Tamandua tetradactyla: one gene and its partner. The protein of the gene in region 2 purifies or fractionates together with the protein of the main gene of each other region. This does not show direct contact. Links are inferred from orthologs where the notes say so. Each region holds a gene or a part of one and is shown on either strand. Other genes may lie near its edges.

Region 1 (16,069 bases), about 32 Mb from region 2:
CTCATAACCTCGACTTCTTAATTCTTATTTTTATGCTTCTATATACACCATGCCCTGTTCCCACTCATTCTTCCAAAACAATGACAACCCATCTGAGGCAGATGATTATACCCATTCTTGGAAACCTGTCTCAGCTGTTTATCAGGATGCTCCTTCTGGGCCTTTGGAGTTAGGCTGGATGACACAGGTCCTCCACTCAGAACATACCCATTTTCCTCATCACTAATCCACCCCCTTAATGCTTAATTTTTCTTGGCCCAGACCTCTCATTCTGTAATGGAGCAGGCCTCTTGGGACACTCAAATCCCACAGCCAACTGGTGGCAGAGTCTGAGCTAGTTTTTTCTGCAGCTGCTGTCCTTTCCAAGATACCTTGTCAAAATACTGACTCTTAAAGAGGATTCAGCGTAAAAGAACATATATACCCTATAATTTCCCCCTCACTTGGGTGTTCTCACCATTGGGCTTATTTGCCAAATTTCAGAGTAGAAAAGTTCAGTTATGAAAATGCTTCTCCCAGCCTAACTTGACCTTTAAGATTTTATTTGAGTCCAGCTTCAGAGTATCTAAGACCTGGATCACTGATGAAGTGAGACTCAGACGAGACTCCAAAGAAGATAATTTTATAATCTGTACAGTACAAATACCTAAGAAACTATTTTCTTTACACTGTTTTTGCCATATAATCATATCTTGTGTACAGTTTCACAAAATGGTGAGGTTTGTGCTTCTCAGCTCTGGTCCCTTCAGGCTTACCATATTGAGGCCCAGCTTTTTTCTGATAGTCAAAATGTCAGAAGTTGCTGATCTTCTGAAGCAGGGTCTGGCGCCGCTCCTCAGGGCTAATGTTCTCTGCAATGGACTTTAAGAAGCGCTGCTCATTTACCTTCTGGAGCAAGGAGCTAACAGAAGTATTGGTCTTGCTCAGGGTTTCATAGCAAGTCAGGATCTCCAAGGCTACAACATAGAGTGGCTCACACACCTCTTGGTGGAGCATGGCCATGATGTGCAGAACATGACAGAACATCTGGGTATAGACAAACAGGGTTTCCTGGGTCAGATCCTGCTCCTGCCCTTGGGCCCAAGGGCCCATGGACTGTATCAACCTAAGTGAGTCCAGGAGATTGGTCAGACTGCCACACAGAAGTTTGACCACATGACCCCAGCCTTCTAAGGGAAGCCAATTACGACAGCTCTGGCTGCAGAGGAACTGGAAGGCTCTCAGGAAGAGTACAGAGAGCTGCAGCTCCTGGGCAAAGGGCTTCAGGTTGAGCAGGGGAACAAACTGAATGTATTCTAGGCTGTAAGGAACATGTAGGAGCTGTTTCTCCAGCAGTCTCCTGGTCAACTGGTGAAGGTACTGCCACTCCTGAGAGCTGCACCAAGGCATGACTTGCACCAGGGCCACCAGAAAGCCCTTACTGAACAATCTAACCTCTTCAGGATTGCCCAGATCTACCACCAAGAGGGAGAGCATCTGTTCACAGATGGTGCTGGAGATACAGCAGCACTCCATCCAGGCAAGAAGCCCTGTGCCTGGTCCATACCCTGGGTGGGCCTGGGAGGTCCACTCGTCTTCAGAGAGCTTACAGATCTCAAAAAGTGTGGCTGGCACTTCACACTTAAAGTGGCCCTCAAAGAAATTCTTCAGTCTCAGGCCCACAGTCCAGTCTAGCTGCTCCACCTTCCGGTGGAGCCAGGACAGGGACTTGGTCCAGGTATCTGGGGGGAAGGTCTCAGCATTAGCCAATACAATCTCACAGAGCAGCTCTAGAATGTGGATCACTAGATCTTTCCCATCCAGAGAGAGGCACCGCTTTTCCTTGGGGAGCTGCCAGTATTTGCTGTAGCTATCCAGGAGTTGGCACAAGCTGAAAATGAGGGGAAATGGGGAACAGGTCTGGAGCCAGTAGTCCTCCAAGCATGCATTAGCTTCTAGAGTTTGGATGAAGATCTTCAAACTGAGGTCTACCACGTCAACGTCTAGCATCAAGAAAGGCAGGACAAATTCCTTTAGCACCTCCTCTGGCTCAAGAAGAGCAGCAACTGGAATCCCTTGGGGCTTCACAGGACTCATCAGACAGCTCAGGAACTCCAAAAACTGCTTTTCTTCCTTGGGTGTAGAGAACTTTCCCCAGACAGTTTCTTTGAGGCATGATACCACAAAAGTGGTGGGTGGATACGGACCCTGCTCTTCTGTGAACCTGAGGGCGGGGAAGGCAGTGAGAATCTGAGCCAGGAACTTGTGGGTGCCAAGAGTGATCACAGCCATACTGCACATTTTCTTAACTGTGATTTCCGGGTGCAGTATTACCAGGCGGGCCACAGAAGCCACGGCTTTAGCCAAGCCCTGCTCAGAGGCACTCTGAGTGAGCTGGTTAAAAGTTGTATTGAGGTCTTCTGGAAAACCTTCTAAGTAAACCAGCAACTTCTCAGAGAGGCCCTTTCGCCCCCAGGAAAGCAGGACACCTGAGAGAACTTTATTTTTGTCTGGCAGTGAGAGGTCTCCATAGCATTCCAGGATTAAGCCTACTACTTGTTTGATCTGTGATTCGGGGATGGCTCTGTCAGATGTACTGACCTCCATCACCGTTTCCAGCAGCTTTAGCACCAATCCTGGTTCTTGGAAGAGAGACCTGTTATTAACCAGACAGGCTAGCCACTCATCTGAGAAGGCCCACTTCTTCTCAGAAGCAAAAATATAGCACATTTCCATATGACGGTCCATCTTCTGCTCAATAATGGCCATGGCGATCGAAGCGGTGATGTCCTTCTCAAAGCCCTTGGTCTTCAGCACACTGTTGGTTTTCCTTAGGAAGTCCTTGACACACTCTGCCATCTCAGAGACCACCTGCCTCTCCTCCTTGGGTAGGTTGATGGTGTCCAGGTAGAGCTTCAAGTTCTGGCTGAAGGAAGTTAGGCTGTCGCACAGCCGGTAGCTATCGTAATTTGTCCCCTGGCTGCTATTGAGCATAGCCTGCAGCTCATCCCCCCATTCCTGCAGCAGGTTGTGCATGTACTCAAAGCCAATGAAAAGTGTCTCACTTGGGAGCTTGGCCAGTGAGGTCAAGCTGACGTCTCGCTCTGCTTCCTTTACCTTCTCTGCCAGCGCCTGTTGGTGGTATGGGTTCTGGGTGTCTGAATTCCATACAGAGATCACTGAGGCCAGTTTGTCTAGATACACAGTCGCAGACACTTCCTGGGGGTCGTCCTCCACCAGTGCAAATACCGTCAGCATGTCAGCCAAGTTGGCTAATGCGCAACACTTCATTCCAGGGCACTGGATATTATTTTGGATTTGCTTCAGCCCGTTGAGCAGCATGGCCAACAGAGGCATGGTAGGACACACATCTGGGTCTGACTTAAACCTCTTTGGAGGGTGGGAGAACTCATCTAAAGAGGACAAATACCTATGGGCCATTGTTCGAAACTGGGAGAGCAGGGGGTCCTGCTGATTGCCCTTGTGCTTCATCATTTCCCACCAGACATTAAGGAAGAAGGCCACGTCCTTTGAAGAAGTGTCAACAGTCATGTGCTCCAAAAAGCGCTCTAGTTCTGCACGGCAGATGATGGTAGGTAGAGCCATCAGGAGCTGGATAAAGAGTCCAGAAGCTTCCAAGGACTTGAGCAGCTCAAAAAGGATTGTGTGATTGATGGTGGGGATCATGTTGCCTACTGAGAAGAATACATCTTCCTGCCACCAAGTTTCGGTGTCAGAAGGTGAAACTGGATAAGGCTGAAGAACTTTGGCCCAGATGATGATCAGAGCTTTCTTCTTCCAGGCAAAGGGCTGGGAGTGTGCTGAGATCGAGGAGATCTCCCTTAATGCCTCCACAATGGGCTGCCCAACGTGTTCCCAGTCGGACTTTGTCAAGTCTGCCAGCACTTTTGGGTGGAATAGCTGCTCGGCCAGCAAGAAGCCTCCATGCAGGATAGTCATTTCTTCACAGATGTTTAAGGGTCCTGTACAGAGAGAAGCCGAATAAGGTAGGATGTAAAAACATTTCAAAATAGTAAGCAGAAGTTATAGGGAGAGACAGCAGGAGGTGAGCTGGTATTATCAGAGTTCAAGATGTTAAGAGTTGTCAATGAGATCGGTGGGAGAGGGAAAGGAGGGGGTGGCTACCAGAGCTACTACAGAGCTGGAGTCAAGAGGACTTAGCTGAGGGATAAAAAAATGACTCCTAAGCTCTCCAGCCTGGGAACTGGCAGGAAGATGGGTACCATTAGAGAGAGGGATACAAGGAGAATCAGAACAGGTGTGGAGGGAAGACAAGCTTGGTTTTGGTTATTTGGAATCTGAGGTAAAACATTAAGGTAGCGACGTTCTCTGGCGATGCAAGCTTGAAGCTCAGGAAGAGAGTCAGTACTAAGATGTGATTCTGGAAACTGTCGGCCCAGAGGGTCACCAAAATCAAGGAAGTGGATGAGATGTTTCGGGGAAAAGATTATGAAAGGAAAAGGTGGACTCGTGGAGGCTAGACTCCGCAGCAAAGGGAGGCACGGTGAAACGGCAGAACAGTACCCAACTACTGGGGCCGCGAGGAATAGGTACAGAGCGTGGAACACGGCAATTGAGCTCCTAAGTAATGATGCACATGAAGGCAGTTGGCACGCATGCCCTTTTCCCTTCTCCCTTAGAGTCTGGCTTTGCAAACAAGTTCCAGACATTCTTAAGCTTTTCAGAGAAACAGTTTGCCCCACAGCTTCTTCCAGTTTAGACCAAGCGACTCAGGGACCTGGTTCTCTAGTGGAAACCACAAGGTAGACACAAAAAATACCACACTAGATTAAGAAAGAAAAGTCCTTCCTTCAGTGAGCCACGAATTTACACTTATCAAGGAAGGTATCTTGAGACTTTTAATCAGACATGGGTTCAAATTCTAGCTCAGGCACTTAAAAGCAATGTGATCTCGGGCAGATTACTTCTCTGAGCCCCCTTTTTGCATACGTGAGGTTATATATAAGTTTCATACCATGACTGTGAGGATCAAATGAAATATACTAACCAAGCCCTAGCACTGGCTTGGTGCTCACTGAGAGCTTCTGATTCCATCTCCTAGGTGTATTGTGAGAGTTAAATAAGGTATAGCTACAGTAAGAAAGACACTACAAAGAGTCTGATTAAGTGTTCAGTGAATGTTGGTTTCTCCAAATCTTTCCATTGTTGGCAGAACCAGAACCGTGTCATTAGTCTTCCCCTTCCCCAGTTCAGAAACATAGGACCTAGGTCTTTAATAGGTATGCTTCCTTTGGCCCAGAAACTTAAATTAGAGCACAAAACTTGCTTTTTTATTCAATATTCCTGATTCCGCTCCCTTTCCCAGGGCTCAGAGATGCCATCAACTTCCGCAGTCCCTCCTGTCAAGAGCACATCTTCCCCATTTTCACCAGTCAGCACAGAGAACCCTGATTCCAGGAGAATTAAGACTATCCTGCTTTTTTCATGGGAGCAGTGTAAGGCCAAGGGATCAGCATTCCTGTGCACTCAAGGGGCAACCCACTTACGAGGCCGATCCATCGTGGCTCACTGTGGCAGGCTCACACTCCCAGGGTGCGCTACACTGCTGAGGGGGCTTTCTGGCTTAGGCTGCTCTGTCAGGGTCCCCAAACTACATTTCCTTTGGCTGTGTAAGTTTAATTTTATTCTAGCAGCTGTGTGGCTCCCAACAGGTACCTTTCAGAGACAACAGCATGTACATGTGCTGCTGGAAGTGAGCCCCCCTCAGCAGTGTAGCACATCCTGGGAGTCGGAGGCTGCCACAGTGAGCCACGATGGATCAGCCTCATAAATGGGCTGCCCCTTGGGTGCACAGGAATGCTGATCAAGTGCTTTATCACAACTGGTTAATTGGTACTTATGGGTGCCCTCCCCACTCCACCCCCCCCCGACTCCCCCACCTTTAAGTGCTTACTCTGTGCCAGACACTGTGCTAGGTGCTACACATATAAGACTTTTTTAATCTTCAAAACTGCCTTTTTGGGGGACTATTATTCCCGTTTAAGAAGTGGGAAGGTTGAGGCTCAGAAACAATTTGCTCAGTTTTACAACTACATAGTGGTGGGACTGGGAAAGAAACCTGCACAGCTGCAGACCTCCGAACCCTTCACCCTCTACTATTCCACCACTGCGAGGCTGGCTGGGGACAGGGACCGGAACATATCTCTCCAGCCTACACGTACTGGCACACATGGGGTGCCTCACTCCCAGCTCTCCCAGAACAGCCTCCTTCCTGGTCCTATCCCCCCAGAAGCATGTTCAGCAGCGTGGGCGGTGGGGGAAAGGAGCCACTTATTTGCATCCGCTCCTTCTTCCTTTTCCCAGACTATAAGGATTCTGAAACAAGAAACACGTGGGGTCAAAAACTAGCACCTCAACCGCTGGAGCCCTTCCGGCACAACTGCTGGTTGGACCAGCGCTTGCTGTGTGTAAAGTACTGTACCAGACACTGTATACATGAGGTCTCGATTAAATTCCCTCCCCCCAAACTCTGTGAGGTAGGTATATTATCATCATCCCCATTTTATCGACGAGGAAACCTAATCGACTGGGTAAGAAACTTGTCAAAAGAATGTAACAGGCGTTCAATAAACGAGTCCCTCGGGGCGTCTTCCGAGCCTGGCATTTTCCAAAGCACGTGCACTAATCCCTTCCACTTCCAGGAAATCTAATCTCACATCCGCTTGGCCTTTCAACGTGGTCGCGGGTCCCGAGAGGGAAAGAGGCCGGCAAAGGAGCGGCAGAGCCCGGGCCAAAGCCGGTCTCCAAGGACACCCCCACCTCCCCAAGCCCTTCCCCGACCCGGAGGTCTCCTTCAGCCCGGGCCCGCGCGAGCGTGCACGGAGGCGGCTGGCGGGCCGGACAGCGCCTCTCTGATTGCCCGTTGCGGGCCCGGGACCAGAGAGCCCTGACACCCACCTAGGTCCATGGCGGCGAAGCTGGCGGCGGCGCGGGCACCCCTCCCCCTCAGCGGCCTCGGGCGCGGCGCAGGCGCCACGGCACAATGGGCGGAGCGGGGGGGGGCGGTACAATAGGCCGCCACCCGGTCCCGCCCACAAGCCCCAGCGCCCGCTCCCGCGCCGACTGCCGTTGACCGCCCGCCGCCCCGCGCGCATGCGCGGGTCTCACCAACGAGCCCTCCGAGTACACAGCGACCCCTGTCGGCGCAAGCCTCCGACCAGCTGACGAACCGGTACCCGCACCGCCCTCCTCTCCGCTGTGAGCCCCGCCTCTGAACCTATTATGATTTGGGACCCACGCCCCAGCGCAGCCCTACCCTTGCCACCCAAGATACCTATCTATCCACTCCCCTGCCCATTTCTGCTTCGTGAGCTCCAGTCGGTTCTTACCCAATAGCCCCGTCTCTGCCCTGGACTCACACTCATCCTACCCACTGATCGCCGGAATCCGAATGCCCCTCCCCAGGCTACCAACTGTCCCACACAAACACGCCACACTCTGAGATCCTTCCTACCTGCAGCGGGCCTCGCAATCACATTCTGAGCCGCCCAGCCCCACAGACCACCGCCCAGTGCATCTCATCCCACACCGCCTCCCTCATACAGCAGCACTCACTAATTCTAGGGCATCACAGACACTTTGGAACATTTAATAAGCAGCCCCCTCCACAAACCCCCCCCCCCCCAAAATACTATGCTAGCCAACACACGCGCACGGGGACACACAACCTAACACTGTGAGACAGATTCAACACCAATTAACCTCCAGTTTGCAGTTTTCCCTTTATAAAGCAAATTTGATTTCTCACTGAGAACACTCATACAAGTATCCTGGGTTGTCGCCCTACCCCGTCTCCCTTTCCCTTCTTCCCAGATCTAATCATCAGTCTCAAGTGTTTCAAATTCTCCACTGTAGTTCCTACCACTGGCTCCCAGCTAGTAAGGACAGCTACCCTCATGTGTCAATTGGAGTTTGAGCTGGCCTGTGCAGCTGTCAAGGAGCTGAAGGGTCCAGTGAGCGATAAGGAGAAACTGTTGGTGTACAGCTACTACAAACAGGCCACCCAGGGAGACTGCAACATCCCTGCCCCTCCCTCCTCAGATATAAGAGCCAAGGCCAAGTGGGAGGCATGGAATGAGAACAAGGGAATGTCCAAGATGGATGCCATGCGGATCTATATTGCCAAGGTGGAAGAGCTGAAAAAAAACGAGGCTGGTTAAGGACAGATCAGTGAATGGAAGGAAGCAACATGGCTTCTCTGGTAGGGAAAGGGCTTCTTAAAAGACCTTGAGGACTGAAATGTCCTGAAATCACACCAACTTTAGCTAAGACACCAATAAATTACTTAAACTTCATGGGACTGATTATCTGCAGTTGGGCAGGAGGTAAACTCAAAGTGACCGTCAGAGTGCCCAGAGTCCAAAAGCTATTTTTAAAAAATCATACAGAACTGGCTTTCTGTATGATTCTAAGTATAACTGAAGTCTCCAGCCTTCCTATTCTCAGAGCAAATGTAGATATTTGGTGAATGTAGAGGGGTGGGGGAAGAATTGTGCGATCTATACCGGAGACCAGTGAAGTCATTCTCCAGTGGCTCAGCCTCTCAGGAGGTCACAGGCCCTTAATATCTCCATGGGTTGTCGGTTCCTTACCAACACAACAGAGGGGAAAGGTATCCTGTCCTCCAAAATGCTAGTGTTGAACCCCTACTAGCAATCGTCCCCACTGGGACACAGACCCAATGATGTTAACACTGTGAGGAAAGCCAAACTTTTAGTGACAATGTGGTGATATAATTGATGCATCACAGTAAGGCAACTGAGAAACACTGGAGCAGATGGTTTCAAAATTCTAGCCTCTGAAAGCATCACTAAGGGCTGGTAACCAACATTTTCTTGGGACTACTCCATAACCTGCTTGGGGATGTTTGTGGGGATACATGTATGTGTTTGTGGGTTTTTTAGGAGCACAACACACCTCTCATACAGGTTTGCAAGGGCCAAAGTGCTTGAGCTCAGCAACTACTCTTTAGTGCCATCATGGAACTATCAGTGCACATACTGTGTGGCTGAGATATGGAGAGCTAAATGGTATTAAAGACATTTCAGAGAAACAGGTCTGCTGTAGCATGGGATTTCCCAGTACTTTTCAATTAAAAAACTATTTTCATAGATCATGACATTAAGTGAACTCCAGTTCATTAAATATAGAAGCAACAACCACAGACTTAAGTGGACAAATGAAACCAAATCTCATTACCTCCAGGGTCTTTTGTCCATGTATTGGCAGGAAGTTGCTATAGATGAAATCCACTAATTCTTTAAGAATGAAGTATACCCTGGAGACTACTATGGCTAAAGTAACCCTTACATCTTATAAACCAGACAAGAGCCACACCACAAAAGAGCAGTGTTAGTCTCTCTTCTCTGGGGATATCATGAACACATTTTGATGTTCTTAAGGCCAGGAGTCATGTGGTATGAATAATGGTGTCTTAAGCCCCTTGCTCCAAAATAATGGTGTCAATTTGAGAGCTCTAGGTATAGCCATACCATTCTGTAAATCATTATAAAATCTGATAAAAGTAAAAACTTGCCCTAATTAGGACTGCAGAAAGCACTCATAGTTTCTACATAAAAATGAGTGCCTTAAAAAAAAAGGTAAACTAGCCCATACCTCCATTCTCATCTCAGGAATCTAAGTCCTCGACTTACCCTCTTCTCATTACCTTCTAAAAACAACAAAAATGACCTGTTTAAAAAAAAAAAAGCCAAAAAATTAGAATGGATTTGTTCCCCTCACCTCCCTCTAAGCAGCTCATATCACTGCTCCTCTGGATAGCAACTGTTGACTAACTCAAACCCTTTCAACGGTATTCACTCAAACAGAAAAGAAATGGGATTCTGATTTTCATCAGATTAACTAGTACCTCAGGATAATTTATAAAGTTATCATAAATGAGAAGACACTGAAAATAATTCTAGGATGTTTCTAGAATTACATCCACAGATGAGGAATTTAAGAAATGAGTTGGATATTTGAGTCTAGAATGAAAAGCAGTGGCCTCTATTCTAATATTGTGTGTAAGAAAGCAATTTTGAAGCATAAAGTTTTAATGTGAAAAGCACAATGAGATGTAAGGATAAAGAGGTCTATAGTTACTCATTGTATCTTTGTTTGGAACAAGGCTGGAAACATTCCAAGCTTCCATTAGAAGAAAGGATTATGTAAACTATGGCATATTAATTTCCATAGAGAAAGTTCTCTATGTACTGAGAGGAAAGATCTCCAGGATATATCATTACATAAAAAAAGGTATAGTGAATATAGTGTGCTAAATTTTGTGGGAAAAATGGAGAAAATCATTGCTTAATAAGTGGTTATCTATAGGAGCAGGGGTAGAAGCAAGACTTTTCACTGTATACTTTTTTTAAATTTTTAATTCTAAACCACATGACTATTACCTAATAAGGTCTAAGGCAAGGACAATTCTTTTTAAAGAGTAAACGTCCTATTGATTTATCACGGCTAAGGATAAAAAATCTTAAAGTAAATAGGAGATTTCCCAGTAATTCTTACCATCAATTTTAGTGGATTAAGTTGAAACCCTCGTGAAAACTCTGGCAACTAAGCCACAATGGCACTATGTGACAGGGGAGATGGGTAGGAAGCGTCACACAAAGGAGGACTGAATGTCCATGGCTTTGCTGCTTCCACTGAGATGTCAGGCAGACGTGGATTTCATACAGCTACTATGCAGGTTTACCTAGGAGGAGAACTTCTACAATAGGCCATTCTAAATCTCTCTGGATTTAAATTCAAAATATTTTTGAATGTATGCTTAATATGCTAGGAATTCAAACTCCTCAATTCAAATAAAAATTACTACCCTGAAAACCTAACTCTGGAGAAACTAAAGAGCTTTCCAATCATCTGTTCAAAACATCAGCCAGAGCAAAACCACGTTTCTTATTACAACACTGTTTTCTAATTAATCACATCATTCCCAGATATGGGGAATAACTTCTGCTTTAAAATCATTTAAATACATAATTTAAAATTTTTTAAAAATATAGCTGAACTGTACAGAAGCAAAATTTTGGGCTCATTGGTAAAAGTCCAAAGTACACTAAATGGTTTTAGGAAGAATAAAAAGAAAGATTCCAATAAGAGGAAAACTGATAGGCAACGAGATAAAGAAAAAGGGGCTGATAGACATAAAACCAAGATGTCCCAGGTAGATTAAGGGCACTGACTTCTAGCACAGATGGCACCCTCTATCATGCATGGCTATACGTTTAATAGAAAAGAATTTGGTATGTTAACAAAAAAGATAAGCAGATAAAAAGGAATTTAGTATGGATTGCTTAGTCATTCAGTACTTACATAAAACAATTATTTTACTATAACAAATTTAAAAGGTCACATCATATAGCAGAACTAGTATACTGGAAAAATTAGTTTCTTTTCACAAGGAGAGTATTACTAGAGATAAACATCAAGACTTAATAATCTAATATAAAATCTGAGAATTCACAAATGGTTTAGCAGAGACAAAAGTTTCTCTGATTATTCAAAATTTATAATTTCACCATGTATAGAAAAAAAATGAGCCAATTATCATTTATCGAGAGGAGGAACACAGATAACTTTGGTTTGCTTTGAAGTTCATGATTCCTTCTCTAAGATACAGAATTTCAATTTAAGTTGAATGAGAAGTGTATGGAACTAGACAAGGATTCTTTTCCCTCAGTGAAAATAAGATTAGCCCCATAAGGTGAGCTGAAACTCACTCAGAAATGTCCTTAACCCACCCTGCCAGGATGGGAGAACAGCTGAAGCTAAGATTTACAGGTAATTTTATGTTATTTTGGAATTAGTATCTTCTGGGTCAATCCCTTTCCAATCTCCTCAGTTTCTTCCCCAAAATTTGAACCTGGTCACCATTTTAAATAACAAGTCTTACAGACTAATACAACAGCATACAGTAAAAAAAAAAAGGGGGGGGTGGGGATGGGGGGATATATCCAATATTATTGTTTCTAGTGATTAAAATCTACTTTTTCTCTAGAACTAAATAGAAAACTACAAAAAAATTTAAAAATATTTTTCAGGCTAATGACTAATTCATTTTTAAGGAATCTAACACAATGTTCTCTTCTAGAGAGGATTAAAAGAGAAAATTACATAAACTAGCACACAGAGTCAGGCATGTAGCAACACTCAAGATATTAGATCCTTTGTCTGTTGTGTCTGGCTACTCAAAATTTAAAAGCAAGAAAAATGGGCTGTCAAATAACCAAATCTTTTGGTCCAAGAAACAATATCCTTTAAAATTTTTATATGTCAAGACCTGCCAGAATAAGACATTAGAATGATTCATCATCAGGAGCTAGAAGTATTATTGTTATAAGCAACTGATTTAGCTTTATTTGAATAGTTGCTTTCATAAACTATATATTATTCACAACATATCAAAATTCTATCCCCAATCAAGGGTAAATTCCCATACAGCTGTTCCACCTCTGGAAAATAATTTGTTACTGATGTAATAGAGCTGTACTCAGAATATGTCGTTCCAGTGACAGTACAGTAGGAGTTCTCCCTCTCCTTGGACTTCTAATAGGATTTCATAGATAAAATATATCAGAATTTCAAAGACTGGAATACACAAATCTTCATCCCCCAGCCTCTTTGCCTGAATAGTAAACAACCAAGTTTTAAGAGTATTATCATGAATGGATGCAACAGGTGGAGAATCATAAACACTGGTTCTAAATGATGTCTTCTGTTAACCTGAAGCCTTTGGTTTATTTTGTTTAGCAAACCACTCATCACTTTTATCTGCATCCATCGCCTAAAAAAAAAAAAAAGGAAAGAATTGAAATATACATTAATTCTAAGTCTTTAAACAAAACACACAGCCCACTTTATACCTGATTGCACTATTCACAATCAATAAAATATTTCAAGAGTATTCATCTAGTGTAGAGTAACAATACTCCAATTTGACAGGAGATGTTGGTGAATATTGAGCAACTGCTGATGGATTTTCACTTTGCAAAGTAAAGGGCAAAACCTGCAGCAAGGAAGTGAGGTAGACTGACTAAGCATGCCAGGCCACAGAATAGAAAGTGCTGCCAGTCTTAGTGTCAGGACAGGCTCTCAAGAGTCTTTAGTAGTCATGAAACTTAGTCTCATAATAAGGCCAAATATGAAAAGCTATTTGATGTTTTAGCAATTGAGTCTGGAACTACTGTACTTTTTGGTTAGTTTTAGACCTCTTAGTTCAAAAAGATATCTTCATAATATTTTTTGGTTCCCAGAAGAGTCCTTTTATCTATTATCACATAAGGTTGATAGTAAAGAAGGGCTTGTAAAGGAGACAGAGGCTTGGAAATGAAGTCTCTTAAAACTTCTTGTCCAATAGCTGTCTGGTTTCCATTTACTCAGTCATTCAGTCAAAAAGCAACTACCTTAAGAAGACAAAATTTCTGTCATGAGTGGATATTGTGCTGAGTGCAGGTGCAGGAGCAGAGACACAGTCTGAGGCTTTGAAAGCTGTGTAGAATAGCTGTGGGCTAAGATGTGGAAACAATGATTTTGAGCATGTTTCAAAATCAGAGCTGTGAACAAAGTGATATCAGACCACAAGGAAAGGAGCAACTAACTAGATTGGAGAAATAATTGAAAGAACACTCATCTACCTCAGCAAGAACAGATGATATTTGCAAATGAAAATCAGAAAATTACAATATTATATATTTATATGTTATATAAATATATATAAAATTTAGAAACAATACCAGAAGAAACAGTTGAAAATGGCTGCCTCTGGGCAATGGTACTCAGAGATAGGGCAAGACTTTTCACTTCATTTGTATACAACCCTAGTACTATTTGATTTTTTATTTATTTATTTTAATCTAGCTATGACTTTAATATGTACATATTCTAGTATTAACAAAAAATAACTATTAAAATTTTACTCCATTTAAAAATATGAAGTATTTGAGGTTTTCAGGAAAACTGGCAACAAACTTATTAGAATTCTAGTTGTTAAAAATAACTAGTTGTGAAATATAGACGATAAAGATTGAGATGCTATAATCTAGGAATGCCGAGAGTGTATAATAATAGTGACTAGATGTACAAATTTTAAAAATATTTGTACATGAGGAAGAACAAAGGAATGTCATTACTGCAGGGTGCTGAAAACAGATGATAATTAATATTTTAAAATTTCAACTTATGTGTGAGACTAAAGCAAAAAATGTTTATTTGGTACAAAATTTATATTTTGACTAGTGCATTTCCTAATATAACTTATGTAGACAGCTTGATTGAACACCATAAGTACTTGGAATCTTGGGTAGGACAAGAGATTTTGTTGGTTTGTCGAGAGTGATGCCCCGATGAATCCCAGAGTGATTCGATCAGTGAGTGGAAAAGTATTTGCAAAGTCCCCTTCGGGGAATGGTGAGAACAGGGAGAAATTCAACTTCCCCAAGTTGAATTCTTGATATTCTCACAAGTAGTGTGGACGGCCAAGGCTATAGGCTGAGCCCCCAGTCTTGGGGTTTGTTCATATGAAACTTAACCCCACAAAGGACAGGTCAAGTCTACTTAAAATTTAGGCCTAAGAGTAACCCCCAAGAAAGCCTCTTTTGTGGCTCAGATGTGGCCTCTCTCTCCAGCCAACACAACAAGCAGACTCACCTGTCTACTTGGGACATGACTCCCAGGGGTGTGGACCTTCCTGGCAACGTGGGACAGAAATCCTGGAATGAGCTGAGACTCAGCATTAAGGGATTGAGAAAAACCCTAGAATGAGCTGAGACTCAGCATCAAGGGATTGAGAAAACCTTCTTGACCAAAACGGGGAAGAGTGAAATGAGACCAAGTGTCAACGGCTGAGAGATTCCAAACAGAGTTGAGAGGTTATCCTGGAGGTTATTCTTACGTATTAAGTAGATATCACCTTGTTAGTCAAGATGTAATGGAGAGGCTGGAGGGAACTGCCTGAAAATGTAGAGCTGTGTTCCAGTAGCCATGTTTCTTGATCATGACTGAATAATGATATAGCTGTCACAATGTGACTGTGTGATTGTGAAAACCTTGTGTTTGATGCTCCTTTTATCTACCTTGTCAACAGATGAGTAGAACATATGGAATAAAAATACATAACAGGGGGAACAAATGTTAAAATAAATTTAGTTTGAAATGCTAGTGATCAATGAAAGTGAGGGGTAAGGGGTATGGTATGTATAATCTTTTTTTTCTGTTTTCGTTTTATTTCTTTTTCTGTTGTCTTTTTATTTCTTTTTCTGAATTGATGCAAATCTTCTAAGAAATGATGAATATGTGATGATATTGAGAATTACTGATTATATATGTAGAATGGAATGATGATATGTTAATGTTTTTGTTTGTTGTTAATTTTTTAAAATAAATAAATAAACAAACAAAAAAAATAACTTGTTGTGATGGACTGCTGACCTTGGACATTACACATGAGGCCTAGTAAATAGAAGTGGCTGAAAGATGCACTGACTGAGAAGCAGACTGGCGAACGATGGTGTAAACATATACTGGAAGGTGCTGCTACAAAAAGGAATGAAGTTGTGAGGCATGCAACGATGTGAATGAATCTGTGGGGCATTTGGTGAGGCAAAATAAGCCAGAAACAAAAGAGCAAATACTGTATGATCTCATTTTAAAAATAAATAATCTGTTGAATCTTACTATACTCAATAAGAAATGTGCTCAGAGGTCTACATAATCACCAACATTCAAATGAATAATTTCTAAATCTTTGGAAAGGGATAATAAAAGATTAGTAAGAAAAGAAGATGGACAGCAAAGTTGCTATATGTTAGTTTACTGAAGAATGCACCAACATAAAATATTTCAATACTGCAAATTAAACATATAATTCACTGAGGTGAAGAATTCAAAATGTCCAAACATGAGAAAACATATATTTGCCAGTTATATCAAAACAGCATCCCAAACACTAAAACTACGTACTTTTAAAAACAATAGAACACCTAAAAATAAACCTTTTTATTTTAAAATACTTTCAAACTTACAAGACAGTTACGAAAAT
Region 2 (16,030 bases):
ATATTGTATGACTGATACAAAATAATTAGGATTAGAAAATTCATAGAGTTAGAACCAGAATATAGATCACCAGGGGACAAGGTGGGGATGAGGAATAGGAGGTACGGCTCACAGTGTAGAGTTTCTGTTTGGAGCGATGGAGGTGTTTTGGTGATGGGTGGAGGTGACGGAAGCACAACATTGTGATCACAATTAGCGGCACTGAAATATGCCCCTCAATGTGGTTAAAAGGAAAGATGTTAGGTTTTACATTTAGTACTAGAATACAAGTTTAATAAAAAAATACATAGGCCTGCAAAACGCAGTGAACTTACCTAAGTTAAACCGTGGACTGGAGTTAATGATACAGCTGTGAAAATGTGCTTTCATCAGTCAGTCCTAACAAATGGGCCACAGCAGTACGAGGTGTTACAGTGGGGTGGTGTATGGAGCTCCTATATTGTATGCATGATTGTTCTGTAAACCCACAACTTCTCTAACAAGAAAAAACGACATTGTAGATGAAATTCTTTAGGTTTGCAATGAAAATAAAGAACAGTGTGAATAATTTGCAGGAGGGTAGTAGGATGTTTTATGCTTAAACTTTACACTGTGTATTTGTCATATGTTCCTATGTGTGTAATAGTGCTCACTGAAAAAAAAAAGGTTAAATATTTTTGGAATATTAGTCATTAAACCGAAAGAGTTACATGAGTAGTTTTCATAGCAGTCCCCAGCCCTGACTCACCCAGGTCTTCCTTCCCCTGGGGTTTTCTGGCTCTGGCTTTGCCCCAACACTGGGCCCCGCCTCCGCACCCCATGGGGCACTGCCTACCCCCCAGCCCCAGGCAGGCAGGGCCCCGCCCTCCTACTGCTGCTGCCTAGAACCCAGCTGAGTGATGGAATTTCCCCCAAAATTTTTACTAGGGGTGAACACAGGCAAAATACTTACGGGAACCGGCCCCAGCCTGGAGGTGACCCATTTCCAAAAATACTGCCCTCACGGGTGCAGGGCCTCCCCGCAGGGCCCGTTCCTCCCTGCCCAACCTGAGTCCCACCACTCTCCTGTCTCTCCTTTCCTTCCTCCTCCCGAGAGGAAGGTGATGACCACAGCTTCCCAGAGGTAGGGATGAGTGGAAGTGCAAGTCCCTTCTTAGGGTACGGCGCAGCTTCCTGCCGGGCCAGCTCTCTGTCCCTCCCCAACAAGGCAGAGGGGAAGGGTCGTTCCTGAGGGGACCCTGCGGTGGCCTCAGGGCAGGGCGCAGGGGAGGTGGTGTGGCGGGGTGGGCCCCCACTTAGGTGTCCCGTACTCCTTGCTTTCTGGGGCCAGTGTTCACGTGTCAGCACCTGCATGCACCACAAACTCCCTCTGTTCCAGCCTGCACCGATGACGTAACTACACCTTGCAGGCCGTGCTCTGCCCAGGTGGCGTCAGGAGCCATCATAGCCACTCAGGATGGGTTTGTGCCACCCTGTCTCCCATAGTGTTAAGCATGCCGGGATTTGGAATCTGAGGACTGGGCAGTTAGAATGTGACCGCAGGCAGACCCGTTCTGACCCAGACCTGGGCTTGGCCGGCAGGGGTTGAACCCGAGGTCAGAGCAAGTGTTGCACATGGTCCGTGTGTCTTGTGCAATTGGTAGGCTGAAAAAACACACTTCACCGGGAAGGCAGGTTAGGTTTGGGTTTGTCTTCATTGTTCCCAGGGCCCAACACCATCCGTCCTGTAGGTGCCACGTAGCTGTTTGCGTCGTTGCTCCAGCTGGCGGAAGCAGATGTCCCCTCTGCACTTACTGCCTTCTGTGAGAGTGTGTCCATTCGCTGCACTGCAAGGCTGCTGTGGCTGAGCTTAGTGTAGTCCCATCACCCTGCATGGCCAGTAGAGCGGCTGCCCCGTGGTAGGCGACAGGTAGACTCGGAAGGTGCAGCCAGGTGCCCTGCTTTTCCGGGGGAGAACCTGTGCGACAAAGTCTGCCCTCTGGTCTCTGCCCCTGTGAGCCTGTATCCTGGGGTGAAGGATGCAGCCACCACCTGGCCAGGGCTCCCCAACAAGTCATGTGACCCCCGAGCCTGCACCCTCTCCTCGTGGGGGGGCGTAAGGAGGTGCCGCCTGGTGAGTGGCACAGAAGGATTGTGTAGCCCTGAGCTATTTCTGTCACTTTCTTTGCCTTTGTAATTTCTGGCTGATACCCAGTGTGAGGCAAATAGGGGTCCTGTGGCCCAAGTACTAATGCTAACTCTGCAGTTTTGGGGCACGCTTTGCAACTCTCAGTTTCACTGGGACGTTTTTGGCTCCAGGCGGGCAGCTGAGGTCACAGCCCTGGAGGGCCCTGGGCTGCGCAGGAGCCTTGGCAGGTACGCCACACGTTCATGTCCCAGTAGCAGGACAGACGGACATCTACCCCAGCCTCTGGCTCCCCAACCCGTCACCAAAACTGCTTATTTTGAGAGGGAGGCTGCTCGCTTATTTAAGAATTCTGTGTGACTGAAAAGACTTTTTCCTAAGGGATATTTGTCACCTAGTGATGAGCAACCAAGCAGATCATTCTGGTTTTTTAAAGGTCAGATAACTCATCAAAGGGTGTGGTGGAGGAATGCCGCCTTTCAGGGTTGGTGGCCGGAAACCCGGCTGCCAATTGCGCAGCCTCTCCTGGGCCTCAACCCAGCAGCCCTCTGCTGCGGAGCTGGGCTCATGGCGATGGCTTAGCAGCCTGGGTGGGTCTGGGCTGACCGTTCTCTTCCAGCTTCGAATTCTACAGATATATCCCACGTCACCTGTGGTTAAGGTTCGGTAAACCCTGCAGGAAAGAAAGGCTGGGTCCACAGGGTGGGGATGGGGTGGGGGTGCAGCGAGTGAGTGTCTCTCCGCCTCACTCGGGTCTGTGCGCCCGACCAGGTGCAGGGCGCACTTTTTGAAAATGGTGGTTCAAATGCTTGAATATCTGGAAAATGTGTAGCAGAATCAGAAACCTTTAACAAGTGGACTCACCCCCTTGCTTGTCCCTGGAATGCTACTGTGGATGCCGGTCGCCAGGTCAACCCAGGTAGAGCCGCAGAGCTCTGGCTGGCCATGATGGGGGATGTTAGGAAGGGGGACAGGGCCTGGGGCTGGGGTCCCCAACTTGGCACCACAGCATGAGCCCTGGGGAACAGCGTGCAGGCCGGGCTCCAGAATGGCCAGTATCTGACTGCAAACTCAGAGCCCCAGCCCTAGCAGGCAGTCTGGGGGCTGCGCAGCCATGAATCATGAGGGGCTCTCGGGGCCTGATGCCACACATCCCTCGGGGTGAGGTCTTTTTGGTCTCCAAGTGGCAGATGGGTCAGGCCAGCTGTGGAGATGAGGGCCACGTGGAGAGAGGGGGCCAGACTTTGTGGGGGGATGTGTGTGACTTGGGGTGATACAGGGATACAGGGAGATGGACCATAGGGCTAGTCCGTGCATCAGAGGACAGAACCCTGGTTAAATGAGAGCCACAGGTGATGGAGGTGGGTCTGCGATGGCAGCAGGGCTTGCAGGGACACTGAGAAGTGGGGACCAGCTGCCGGCTGTCCGTCTGTCCTGGGCGTCCTCTCAGCGCTGTTGGGTGACTCGGCTCAGTGCAGAGAATTTGCCAGGTTGAATGCAGACAAAGGTGTCTACCCTTGAGAAACACAGCATGGCCCAGAAATTGAAGCACAGCGTGCTGGCTGGAGTAACTAGGTGCTTCCCGGTGGGCCCAGGTCTCCGAGGCCTGCTAGCTCTTGCAGGGCAGCAGGGAGGACATGTACGTGCTTGGCCCCTTGCTTGGACTGTGTGCTCCAGGGGTCCACTCCTCAAGCGTGTGGATGAGCTCCAGGCTCTGAGGTGAGCTTGTCAGTGGGTTGTCATCTAGAGGCCAAGGAGATGACAGGCACCCAACCTGGGAGGCATGGAGGTGGGCTGGGAGGGCACAGTGGTGAGCTGCCCCATGTACTGGGTATGGCCAGGCCCTTTGAGGGTGTAGGTGAAGACATTCATACAAGTTTTTTTTTTTTTTTTTTTTAATTTTTTATTGATTGTAAAGAAAATTACAAGAAAGAAACACAAACATTCCCAACACATACACTCAGCAATTCGCAATATCATCACGTAGTTGCATATTCATCATCATGATCATTTTCCAGAACATTTGCATCAATTCAGAAAAAGAAATAAAAAGACAACAGAAAAATAAAACAAAAAAAGAAAAAAAAATTTTTACATACCATACCTCTTACCTCTCCCTTTCATTGATCACTAGCATTTCAAACTAAATTTATTTTAACATTTGTTCCCCCTATTACTTATTTTTATTCCGTATGTTCTACTCATCTGTCGACAAGGTAGATAAAAGGAGCATCAGACACAAGGTTTTCACAATCACACAGTCACATTGTGAAAGCCATATCATTACACAGTCATCATCAAGAAACATGGCTACTGGAACACAGCTCTACATTTTCAGGCACTTCCCTCCAGCCTCTCCATAACATCTTGGTTAACAAGGTGATATCTACTTAATGCATAAGAATAACCTCCAGGACAACCTCTCTGCAGCCATTGACACTTTGTCTCATTTCCCTCTTCCCCTTTTTGGTCGAGAAGATTTTCTCAATCCCTTGATACTGGGTCTCAGCTCATTCTAGAAAGAAACTCTAGAGTTTTTTTCAATCCCTTGATGCTGAATCTCAGCTTATTCTGGGATTTCTGTCCCATGTTGCCAGGAAGATCCACACCCCTGGGAGTCATGTCCCACGTAGACAGGGGGAGGGTGGTAAGTTTGCTTGCTGTGTTGGCTGGAGAGAGAGGCCATGACTCCTTCCACCCTGCGAGGCAGGTCAGATGCCCGCTGGAGTTCCTTGAGCATGCTTATAGCAGGGTAACTGCTGACAGTCTGGTCAAGCGGGACTGTCCCCTGGGCACCCAGGTTCTGTGGCACCTCCCGCCCCTACCCAGATTTTTGAGAACTTCCAGAAGGTTCTCACTTTTCCTTCTTTGCTCACCCCAGTGTCTGACCTGCGTGCCAGCTTTTCTTCGTCTTCATCCCTTACCTTGATGGAGGCCTGGGCATGTGAGGGGGTGCTTCTGTCCTTTTGTGGGAGTTGGGGGCTGCAACCGGGTGGTTGTACCAGGGGCTGGGTCCCACAGTCCGGCTTTTCCCCGCCGACCCGGCAGTACACCCAGGAAGTCGATCACTCATTTCCTGCCTGTTTCTCTTACTCTTTGAGATGTAGCTCTTAAAAATTGGAGTTTTATTTCTTTCTTCAGTTATTTATTTATTTCAGAAATAAATAAATAAATGGGAGCTCCTCAAAATTAAACACTTTTGTGCATCAAAGAACTTCATCAAGAAAGTAGAAAGACAGCCTACACAATGGGAGACAATATTTGGAAACGACATATCAGATAAAGGTCTAGTATCCAGAATTTATAAAGAGATTGTTCAACTCAACAACAAAAAGACAGCCAACCCAATTACAAAATGGGAAAAAGACTTGAACAGACACCTCTCAGAAGAGGAAATACAAATGGCCAAAAGGCACATGAAGAGATGCTCAATGTCCCTGGCCATTAGAGAAATGCAAATCAAAACCACAATGAGATATCATCTCACATCCTCCAGAATGGCCATTATCAACAAAACAAAAAATGACAAGTGCTGGAGAGGATGCGGAGAAAGAGGCATACTTATCCACTGTTGGTGGGAATGTCAAATGGTGCAACCACTGTGGAAGGCAGTTTGGCGGTTCCTCAAAAAACTGAACATAGAATTGCCATACGACCCAGTAATACTATTGCTAGGTATCTACTCAGAGGATTTAAGGGCAAAGACACAAACGGACATTTGCACACCAATGTTTATAGCAGCATTATTTACAATTGCAAAGAGATGGAAACAGCCAAAATGTCCATCAACAGACGAGTGGCTAAACAAACTGTGGTATATACATACGATGGAATATTATGCAGCTTTAAGACAGAATAAACTTATGAAGCATGTAATAACATGGATGGACCTAGAGAACATTATGCTGAGTGAGACTAGCCAAAAACTAAAGGACAAATACTGTATGGTCCCACTGATGTGAACCGACATTAGAGAATAAACTCGGAATATGTCATTGGTAACAGAGACCATCAGGAGTTAGAAACAGGGTAATTGGAGCTGAAGGGATACAGACTGTGCAACAGGATTAGATACAAAAACTCAAAAATGGACAGCACAATACTACCTAATTGTAATGTAATTATGTTAAAATACTGAATGAAGCTGCATCTGAGCTATAGTTTTTTTTGTTTGTTTTTTTATATATATTTTTTGTATTTTTTATTTTTTTTCTCTATATTATCATTTTATTTCTTTTTCTGTTGTCTTGCTACTTCTTTTTCTAAATCGATGCAAATGTACTAAGAAATGATGATCATACATCTATTGATGATATTAAGAATTACTGATTGCATATGTAGAATGGAATGATTTCTAAATGTTGTGTTAGTTAATTTTTTTTTTATTAATAAAAAAAAAAAAGTTAATGGCACGGGCAGGCCATGGTAGTTCAGCAGGCAGAGTTCTCACCTGCCATGCCGGAGACCTGGGTTCACTTCCTGGTGCCTGCCCATGCAAAAAGGAAAAAAAAAAAAAAAAAAAAAGCCAAGGGCTTCACTGGAAACAAAAGCCACGGTAAACACCAAGGTCCAAATGCCCTAGAATACAAGGCCCAAAGCCACATGTCCTGGTCCCATCAAATCCTTTAAATTGTCACCCTTTTCGTTTCATTTGTCAGAGTTCTTTAACTATAAACCAACTGTTGATGTTTTTGAGGGGACTCAATATTTATCACTGTTCTTTGCAGGTTGGACTCAATAAATTGAGAAAAAGGATAAAGATGCAAAGCAATGCATTTGGAGGCAAAAATAGAAACTACTATCCTTAGAGAACATAAGTGGATGAAGTAGGAGAGGGTGTTTGTGTGTTTGTGTGTGTGCAGGTGGGTGTGTGTAGGGGAAGCCATGGTTCAACCACTACTCAGTAAGTGGGGAAGCAGAAACACGAAGGTATCTCCATCCAAAGAGAAATAAAGGAATTGAGGCAGTTAAGCATGTCAAACTTATTCTTCCCAACTTCCAGTGGGGTGGAGCAAGTACACGGGTAGAATAAATGCCAGGAATATTAGAGTAATTGATACCTCAGATTGGGAAGACTATAACAGGAATGTAGTAGAAGCATATAATCTTAATTCAGAGATTTTTTTTTTTTAACATGGGCAGGCACCGGGAATCGAACCCGGGTCCTCTGGCATTGCAGGCAAGCGTTCTTGCCTGCTGAGCCACCATGTCCCACCCAATTCAGAGATTTTTAAGAATTTTTTTTCTTGAGTAGGCATGCTTTTCCCATACTAAGTGCCATTTGTAATAGTTAATCTCCCGTTAGCTTTTTTTTAGCTATAATGAGTAAGAAAGTTATCTGAAGCACAATATGGTAATTGAAAACACCAGAAAAACTGTCACATACAACAATTTTATTTTGAAACAATGCATTCTAAAGTGCCTTGGAATGCTAAGAAATGCATTTTTTTCCTACTGTGTTACTACGTGTGAGTGGAGATAACCGAAGCTTCTTGGAACTGTTCATGACACTTTGGCATAAGGATGGGTTCTCTTGTAAATAGAATCTGGGTATTCTGAGGTGGGAGAGGGGGCAGTGGCTCAGGGGAGTTGCAGCTCTTATGGTGATGTTGGGGGGTTGATGAGTATTGGAGACAGGAGATAAATTGGGTAGGGAAGGTATAAGGGTTTCCATGAAAGAGAATAAACATGATGAATATGAAAAAAAAAATTGGAATTTTAAATAAACGTGCCTTGTGATCTCGAGAGGCTGGAGCGAAGGCTCGGTGCTGCCCATGGGCTCCAAGGTCCCCTAGGGGGCTGAGGGCTGCGCTTGCGTGGCCTGTGGGGAGTCCTTCCCCTCTCAGGAGCCACAGCCCCAGTGCAGCCATTCCTCAACGAAAAGACTGGTTTACCTTCCCGCCCTCGGTAGCTCTGACTCCCAGCACAGAAAGAACTGGAAATTGATTCAGAACAAAGCTGTGTGACGTGCTGCTGCCCGGGGAGGGCTGTGGTTGCGTGGCTGCCTGCGGTTGGCGGAGGAAGTGCTGGGCTGGGATGCCGGGGACAGCTTTCATGGGGAGGCAGAGCCCAGTTTTTTCCTGGAGGGACAGGAAGATGGGGGAGAATAGCTTGACCCAGATAAGGGCACCCGCGTGGTTGCCACTGGAGGTCCAGGCAAATTCTCAGACACGGGGTAGGAATTTGGGGCGCCAGGCAGCGGGGTCTCCTTGGGGAAGCCTTCCTAGGACTCCTACCCCCCGAGCTGGGGGCTCACTGCCGCCCCGGTTCCATGCTGGCTGAGCTGGGGCTGGGGGCTCAGCCCGGGGAGCTTGTGCCCTGGGGACATAAGGGCCCTACACCCACCCCAGTGGGCCCACCCGCACAGAGCTCCCTCTTCATCTGCTCCCTGAGACCACTGCACCTCTCCGGGTCCCAGACTGTCCGGGCACGGGGTCTGTGTTGCGCCCCCTCTGCCCACCTGTGCGCCTGTCCACTCCTTTGGCCTCAGACAGCACTTGGTTTCCATCTGGTGCTGCGAGGTCCGGGAGGCCCCGAGCATCAGCTAGCTGTGCTCATCTCCTCTCTGGTGTTTTGTTTCTGAATCCTCCTGCTTGTTTGGGTAGCTTACATGCGGGACTCCCTCTGAATCATGGAAACAAGGTCCCAGACGTCCGAGGGCTTGGAGGCCCCACAGGGTTGAATGCCCTCCAGTAGTTAATGGTTTCCTTCCCGAGGTGTAACGCGGTGGTCCTTGACTCGTTCCTCTGTTGGAAACCTGTTATGGTTTCTTGTGATTTTCTATTCCATATGCCTTCCCATGAAGTCGTTTCAGTGTTTTCGTTATTAAAAGCCAGGAGCAGAGGAGAAATATCTTGTGACATTTTTTATGAAAAAATTCCCAATTTTTTCCCCCACTGCTTTTATTAATACAAGTTGGTCACATAAGATGATGAACAGTGTTAATTTCCGTTGTTTCCCATGGTGATTTAGATGTGATAGGGTTTGGGGGAAGCTCCTTAGAGTAAATCGGCCCTACCTGAGAAATCGCCCCTAGGTCTCATCTGTGCCAGTCGGTTGGATTTAAGTGAGGTGAAACCATTAGCTTCACTAAGGGGCCTCCCTGGGAGGGGCTGACACCGTGGGACTGGGGGGGGGGGCCTCAGCGCTGCCCTTCACCAGCACGTTACTTGATCTGCCTGAGCCTTGGTTGTTTTCACCTCTAAACGTTATACTTTACTTTGTAGCCACCAGGCTCAGTTAAGAAACACGCAAAAGCACTTTGTAAACTGGGGGGGCGATAAACAGAGGATGGCTCTCTTCACGGACGCAGGCTGTCTGCAGTGCGGTGACAGTTCTCCTTCTGCACCCATGCACCTTCTCAGCTGCCTTGTTTCTACGTTTGCAAGGTTCCGCTTTCTGAAGAGATGTAATTCACTGAGAGCGGGCCCACGTCTGGGTTTTTCCTCAGTGCCACGTGTAGGGAGAGTGCAGAGCTGACCCGTTGAACAGGCCGATGTGGACGGCAGCATCCACCCCCCTGCTGCCACCAGCATCCACAGCGCAGGGTCACGTGGGGCCTGCTGAGCTTATGAAAAGTGAACAAACTTCATCTGTTTGATTGCCCGCAGTCTGAAATTGTTCTCTGGAAACAGCACGTGGGCTGCTTCAGAGCACAATTTACTTTTGTGTCCTCGGTCCCTAGCACACTGCCCAGCACATAAGAGGCACGTGAGCCTGCTTGATGAAGGAAGGAAGTGTTTACAAGTCTGCGGGTGTGTGCTCCGTGAAGTGACAGCCGCCCATCGGAGAGCCCAGAGGCTTCCAGATGCGGTGACTTAGTGCAATAAATAACCTGTTTATTATAGAAAACAGAAAAGTAACTCAAGGACTCCCTGAATTTTCTTGGGTGAGAAATGCAGTGAGGACAGCTGAATACTTTTGTTTCCACTGAATGTTTATTGCTTTTCTTCTACACCACAGTTTGAATTTAAATCATTCCCTGGTTAAATTAATGCTTTAATATTGAATAGGGGGAGGCTACTAGACAGCTTTTGCTGCAAATGAGCCTTATCCTTCTGGGCTTGCCTACCTTGCCTGTAATCCTCACTGTTCCAGCTTTCTAATTTCTCATATGCAAAGAAGGTGAACAGATGTGCAGGTGACAAGTATGATAACCAGCGAGTTACAATAATGCACAGTAAAGGTTAGCGCATTGACTTAATATGGAGACGCTTCTTTGTTGGCAGTGTGATGTTGGTCTGTGCAGAGACGAGGTCACTAAGTCATTTTCTGGGACCAGAGAGACTGCCAGAAGCCACTGGAATGGAGGCCTGCGTGTGCTAAGTGGTTTTCAGGGCAAAGCATGGCAGTTTGCCTTAGCGCTGTGTTGGGAAAGCTTGATTTTCCTGACTTCTTAGGTTGGCAGCATCTCCTTCGTGACTTCATGGTCCACTGCAAGAGGCCCCTGGGTGCCTCTCCCCTCTCACCCCCCTGCCTCATGCTTACAGAATGTTTCCAGGCTCCTCTGTGCGTTGGTGGCCTCACAGACCCTGGGGAACGTGGAGGTTTTCACCCGGAAGGAAGTCCTGGCCTGGGTCGGGGGGACTTGCAGCCCATGGCCTTGACAGTGAGGACAGTGGGGTGGAGGAAGCAGGCAGCACTAAGACGTTCCCGCCGTGCTCCAGGTCTTGGAGGGATGCTCCCAGTGGGACCGTTGGGCAGGAGCCGTGCTGGACCAGGCTCTGAAGGGTTCTTGGGATGGGGAAGAGGTGGGAGGGAAGGCGGGCATTGGTTGTCAAGTCCTTCAGTGTTGGAGCTAGGTGCTGGGAACCACAAACACCGTGAGCTGGATGAGGATGGGGGTGCCTGGAAGCTGAGAACCCTGTCGGATGCTTCTGCCCTAGCCCTTGTGGGGTAAAATGGGGAGCTGAGCTGAGAGGACTGAAAGGGTGTGGGGTGGGGGTAGATGAATTAGAAACGCAGGTGAAATGGTGAGGAAGGGGGAACAGTTGGCTGTGAAGGATGGGGGCGGGTCTTGATGGAGGGTGGGTCTTCCATGTCTTCAAGGAGCCGCAGGCTTGGGGGAGAGATGTTCAGTTGCAGATCTTGAGTTTGAATTGACTGTGAACCTCTCATTTAGCAGGAACTCAGCAAGGGGAAGGGATCTGTAGGTTAAGGATTTACTGATTATGAATGGGGGAAGTGGAGAGGACCACGCTGGGAAAAGCCAGCAACTGGGCAGAGCAAGGGGAGGACCCGGGAGGGAAGAGTCTGAAAAAGAAGGGCCTGGCCAAGGTCACGGGCCCCGAGTGAACCCAGGAAGGTCACAGCGCAGGTGGTGGGAGCCCAGCAGCAGGGGCAGGGGCTGGGTGCGGGGGGCCAGGTCACGCCCTGTGGGGGGATGAGCTCTGGCATGGACGGGGACGGCATTAACGTCTGTGGAGAGGGGAGAAGGAAAGGCACAGGGCCACGGATCATGGAGTGGTAAGAATCATGTGGGAAGAAGGCTGTTCCCCACCCAGCCTCATGGCGGATTGCTGTGGAGTCGCCTCTTCTTCGGGTAATGGGCCGTCTTTTGCTCTTTTGCAGTGCTTGCCCCTCCCGCGCCGCCACCACCCCCCATCCAAGGATATGCCTTCAAGCCTCCACCTAGACCCGACTTTGGGACCTCTGGGAGAACAATCAAATTACAGGCCAATTTCTTCGAAATGGACATTCCAAAAATTGACATCTATCATTATGAATTGGATATCAAGCCAGAGAAGTGCCCAAGAAGAGTCAACAGGTATTCTATTTCGTCCTTTATCAAACTCAATTAATTCATAAATGGGGTAACCTGTAAAAGGGAAATGCAACAGTTTAAACAAATCAACCCTCCAGTTAGCAGATCCTTCTGATTTTTTCCCCAGAAAATTTCAATTGTTTTTATTTATTTTTGTTTAAATGCTTTTTATTGAGATAAAATGTAAGTATAATGAGATGCACACCATGCTTCACCGAATTTGATGAAAGCTTGTCCCCGTTGCTGGCGTTGTCATGCCCTCTTGCGGTCATTCCCCTGCCCCAAAAGTAGGGGTGTTCTGATTTGTATCGCCATAGACTCGTTTCCAGGTCGGCTCCCGAGCCTGGCTTCTTTTGCTCAGAGTGGTGCTCCTCAGATTCCGCCTCATTGCGTCTATAGTGGCTTATCGTTTTTGCTGAGGGACACTTTGTGGCATGAATATTCCCTAATTCATTCGTTTCATCTTCCAGTTAAGGCACACGGGGCCACCTGGGTTTGGGCCGCCCCAGTAGGGCCGCTTGGGCCTCACTGTGCAAACGCCCACCTCTCCCTTGGGTGCAGCCGGCCAGTGCGGCTCTGGGGCCGAGGCATGTGTGGGAGCCGCATGGTCGTCTCCCTGGTGGCCGTCCATGCCCTTGCTCGCACTTGGTGTGGTCACTCTGATCTCTGCCATTTGGGTGGGTGTGTGATGATTTCTCGTGGCTTTAGCTTGCATCTCCTTGAGAACCAGCAAGTTGAGCGGGTGCCTTTTCATGTGCCTGCAGGCCATTCACATCCCATCTTCATAGTATGTGTCCCTTGACATCTTTAGCCTCGTTTTCTGTTGGGTTATTTGCCTTTTTGTTATTGATTTGTAGGAGTTTTTAATATATTCCACGTGCAAGTCTTTATTGGGAATATTTTCTCCCAGTCCAGGACTTGCCATTTCATTTTCTTAATGGTTTCTTTTAATAAGCTGAATTTTTCAAATGTGTCGAAGTCGAATTTATCAATTTATAAGAATAGTTGTGTTTTATGTCCTCTCCTCAAAATCTTTTTCTCCTCAGAGTCACAGAGATACTCTGTTTTCTGAAACTGGAAGAATTGTAGTTTTGGCTTGTATGTTTAAGTAACCTTGAATTAATGTTTTTATATGACATGAGTTAAGGGCCATTGAAAAGATTTCTCATTCCCCGTTCATTTACCTGGGCATCTCTGTTTAAAAAAAAAGAAATGATTGATTATGTACCTGTGGGTCTACTTCTGGACTCTCTATTTTGTTCTCTTAAACAACTTATCTGTATTTAGGCCAGACTCACTGTTTTGATTACTCTAGATTTATGGTAAGGTTTGAAACCAGAGAGATAAGTCCTGCAAATTTGTTATTCTTCTCAATTTTGTTGGCTATTCTCAGTCCTTTGTTTTTTTTCAAATGAATTATACAATCAGCTTGTCAGTTTATACCAGACAACCTTTTGGAATTTTTTCATTGCAATTGCTTTGAATCTATAGACGAATTTGGGGAGAATCATCATTATACTAATCTCTGAACATGGTAGAGCTCTCTGTTTATTTGTCTTAGTTCCTTTTAGCAGGTTTTTTGTAGTTTTCATGGAGGTCCTTTATTAAGCTTATTCTTAACTTTGCTGTGTTCTTTAAGGCTGTTGAAAATAATATTTAAAAATTTAAAAATATTTTTATTGATAAAACAATATACAAACATTCTTAACTTACAAACATTTTGTACGTGGTACACGGTCAGTGGCTCACAGCATCATCACATAGTTGTGTATCCATCCCCATGGTCGTTTTTTGAACACGTTTATTTCCCAGAGGGATGGGATTTGCTAGCTCACGGGCACGGAGTGTCTTCTCCGGGTGGAGGCGATGTTGTAACCTCCCTTCTGGTGATGGCTGCACAACCCTGAGCACAACAAGCCACTTAGCTGTGCTCTCTAAAGATGTCCTTCCCCCAAATTTCCAACCATTCATTGCTAGTAGGAGATATAGATTCAGTGTTTGTGTTTTGACCTTGTATCCTGTGGCTTTGTAAATTGTGCTTTAGCAGAGCTTTTGTTTTTCTTTCTTTCTTTCTTTCTTTTTCCTTTGATAGGTTCCTTCGGGTTTTCCAAGTAAGGCGTCATGTTGTCTGTGAATAAAGGTGACTTTCTTTCTTTCTAGTTGTTTATTCGTTTTATTTCTTTTACTGGCCTTGGAAGTCCAGTACAGTGTTGGATAGAAGTGGTGAAGCAGACTTCCTCGCCTTGTCCCAGTCAGGGAGGAAGCATTCACTCTTTAATCTATGAAGTATGCTAAACTGGGATTTTCACAGAGTCTCCTTATCAGGCTGGGGGAGTTATCTTCCTAATTTGCTGAGAATTATCATTATCATTGGGTGTTCAATTTTGAAAAATGCTTTTTTGCGTCTGTTGAGGTGATTGTATAGTTTCTCTTTTTTTCCTGTTAATGTCAGAGAATTATGTTGATTTTTTTCAGATGTTAAATCAGCCTTAAATTTCTGATATAATCCCATTTAGTCATGGTATATTATTTTTATATATTGCTGGGTTTTATTTGTTAGTATTTTGTTGAGAATATTTGTGTTTGTGTTCCTAAAGAACTTTGTTCTGTAGTTTTCTCGTCAAATTTTGATATCAGGTTATGTGAGAGACATGCTTCTCTCCTTATACTGAAGAAGTGTCAGTGAATTCATTTCTAGTTTTCTTCCTAGGGAGCATTTTAATACACTTTAATTTCTTTAGCAGATATCAAGCTTTTCAGATTTTTCTGATGCTTCTTATATAAGTTTTGATAGTTTGTGCTTTTCAGGGAATATGTTTATTTCATCTAAGTTTTTTAGTTTATTGGCAGGAAGTTGTTCATAATACTGTTTTACTATCTCCACGTCCTCTGGTGAAAGACCTATTTCATTCTTGATATTTTTACTTTGTATTTTCCCTTTCTGTTCTTTTCTCGATTAGTTTTGCTATGGGTTTGTCAGTTATATTCATCTTTACACAGAGCCAAGCTTTACTTGTTGAATTTTCTCTTTGTTGATTTTTCTCTGATTTTCTCTTCTGATCTATATTTTCTTTCTTATACTCACTTTGAGTTTAGATGATTGATTTAAAATCTTACCATTATTTAAGCACTATTTTAGCTTAACCTACACATTTCGATACATTGCATTTTAATTTCCATTCAGTTCAAAATGTTTTCTCATTTCCGTTGTGATTTCTTCTTTAACCATGGGTTATTTAAAAGTGTTATATTCAGTTTCTCACTGTGGGGATTTTTTTTTAATACTCTTTGCCATTGACTTCTAATTTAATTTCTTTATGACCAGAGAACGTTCTGTAAAATTTCAGTCTTTTGAAATTCACAGGGGCACATTTTGTTGCTAACCATGCGATTTATCTTGGTGAATGTTCCCCTTGCACCAGAACACAATTTATATCCTGGATTGACTCTGGATATCAATGTTTATTAGTTTGGGTTGTTTGAGAGTATATTCTAGTCCTCTGTATCTTTCCTGATTATTTTCTCTAAGTATGAGGTGAATTTGTCTGCTTCTTTGTTTAGCACTGTCTGCTTTTGTTTCCTGTATTTTGAAGTACTTTATTAAGCACATGCTCAGTTATGATTATGTCTTCCTTTCATCATTCGGAAATGTCCTTCTTTATATTTGGTAATTCTTCTTGTGGTAAAGCTTTATTTTTGTCTGATTAATATAGGCTTGTGATCTTTCTTATTGTTACTGTTCGACTGATACATCTTTTTCCGTGGTTTTATTTTCAGCCTTTCTTATGTATATGTTTGTAGTTCATGTCTCACTTGTAGACTGTTATGTAATTGGGCCTTTTAATTGGAGTGTTTGGTTCATTTAAATTTAATATAATTATCAGTGGTTGACTTTAAGTTTGCCACCTTGTTATTTGTTTTCTAATTCTTCAACTGTTTTTTATTCTTGTTTTTTCCCTAGTGAAGTCATCAGACTTTTTTTAGTATTCAATTTTATTTATTCTCCTAGCTTTTAGGTTTACCTCTTCATACTTTTTAAATAATTGCTCTACATATTTCTGCAGGCATCTTTATTTTATTTTACCATAGTCTACTTAGAATTAATAATGTAACTTCATACAAAATGTAAGAATTTATAAAGCATAATTTATGTGTCCTTTTGC

What was found.
Region 1: the proteins of AGO2 (region 2) and GEMIN4 purify together in Homo sapiens (affinity purification with western blotting; 4 studies listed by BioGRID and IntAct, with this or other methods). This does not show direct contact. The link is inferred for Tamandua tetradactyla from reciprocal best matches to the Homo sapiens genes AGO2 and GEMIN4.

The regions. Positions count from the first base shown.
Region 1 is NC_135332.1:54,513,822-54,529,890, reverse strand, and holds GEMIN4 (gem-associated protein 4), read right to left. Parts: upstream 7,043-16,069; 5' UTR 6,929-7,042; coding exon 6,919-6,928; intron 6,700-6,918; exon of another isoform or gene 6,678-6,699; intron 3,963-6,677; coding exon 793-3,962; 3' UTR 607-792; downstream 1-606. Other genes in the region: GLOD4 (glyoxalase domain-containing protein 4), read right to left, coding at 12,752-12,817. UniProt on the Homo sapiens protein: The SMN complex catalyzes the assembly of small nuclear ribonucleoproteins (snRNPs), the building blocks of the spliceosome, and thereby plays an important role in the splicing of cellular pre-mRNAs.
Region 2 is NC_135332.1:86,912,123-86,928,152, forward strand, and holds the start of AGO2 (protein argonaute-2), read left to right. Parts: upstream 1-9,847; 5' UTR 9,848-10,448; coding exon 10,449-10,770; intron 10,771-10,887; exon of another isoform or gene 10,888-10,999; intron 11,000-11,674; coding exon 11,675-11,870; intron 11,871-16,030.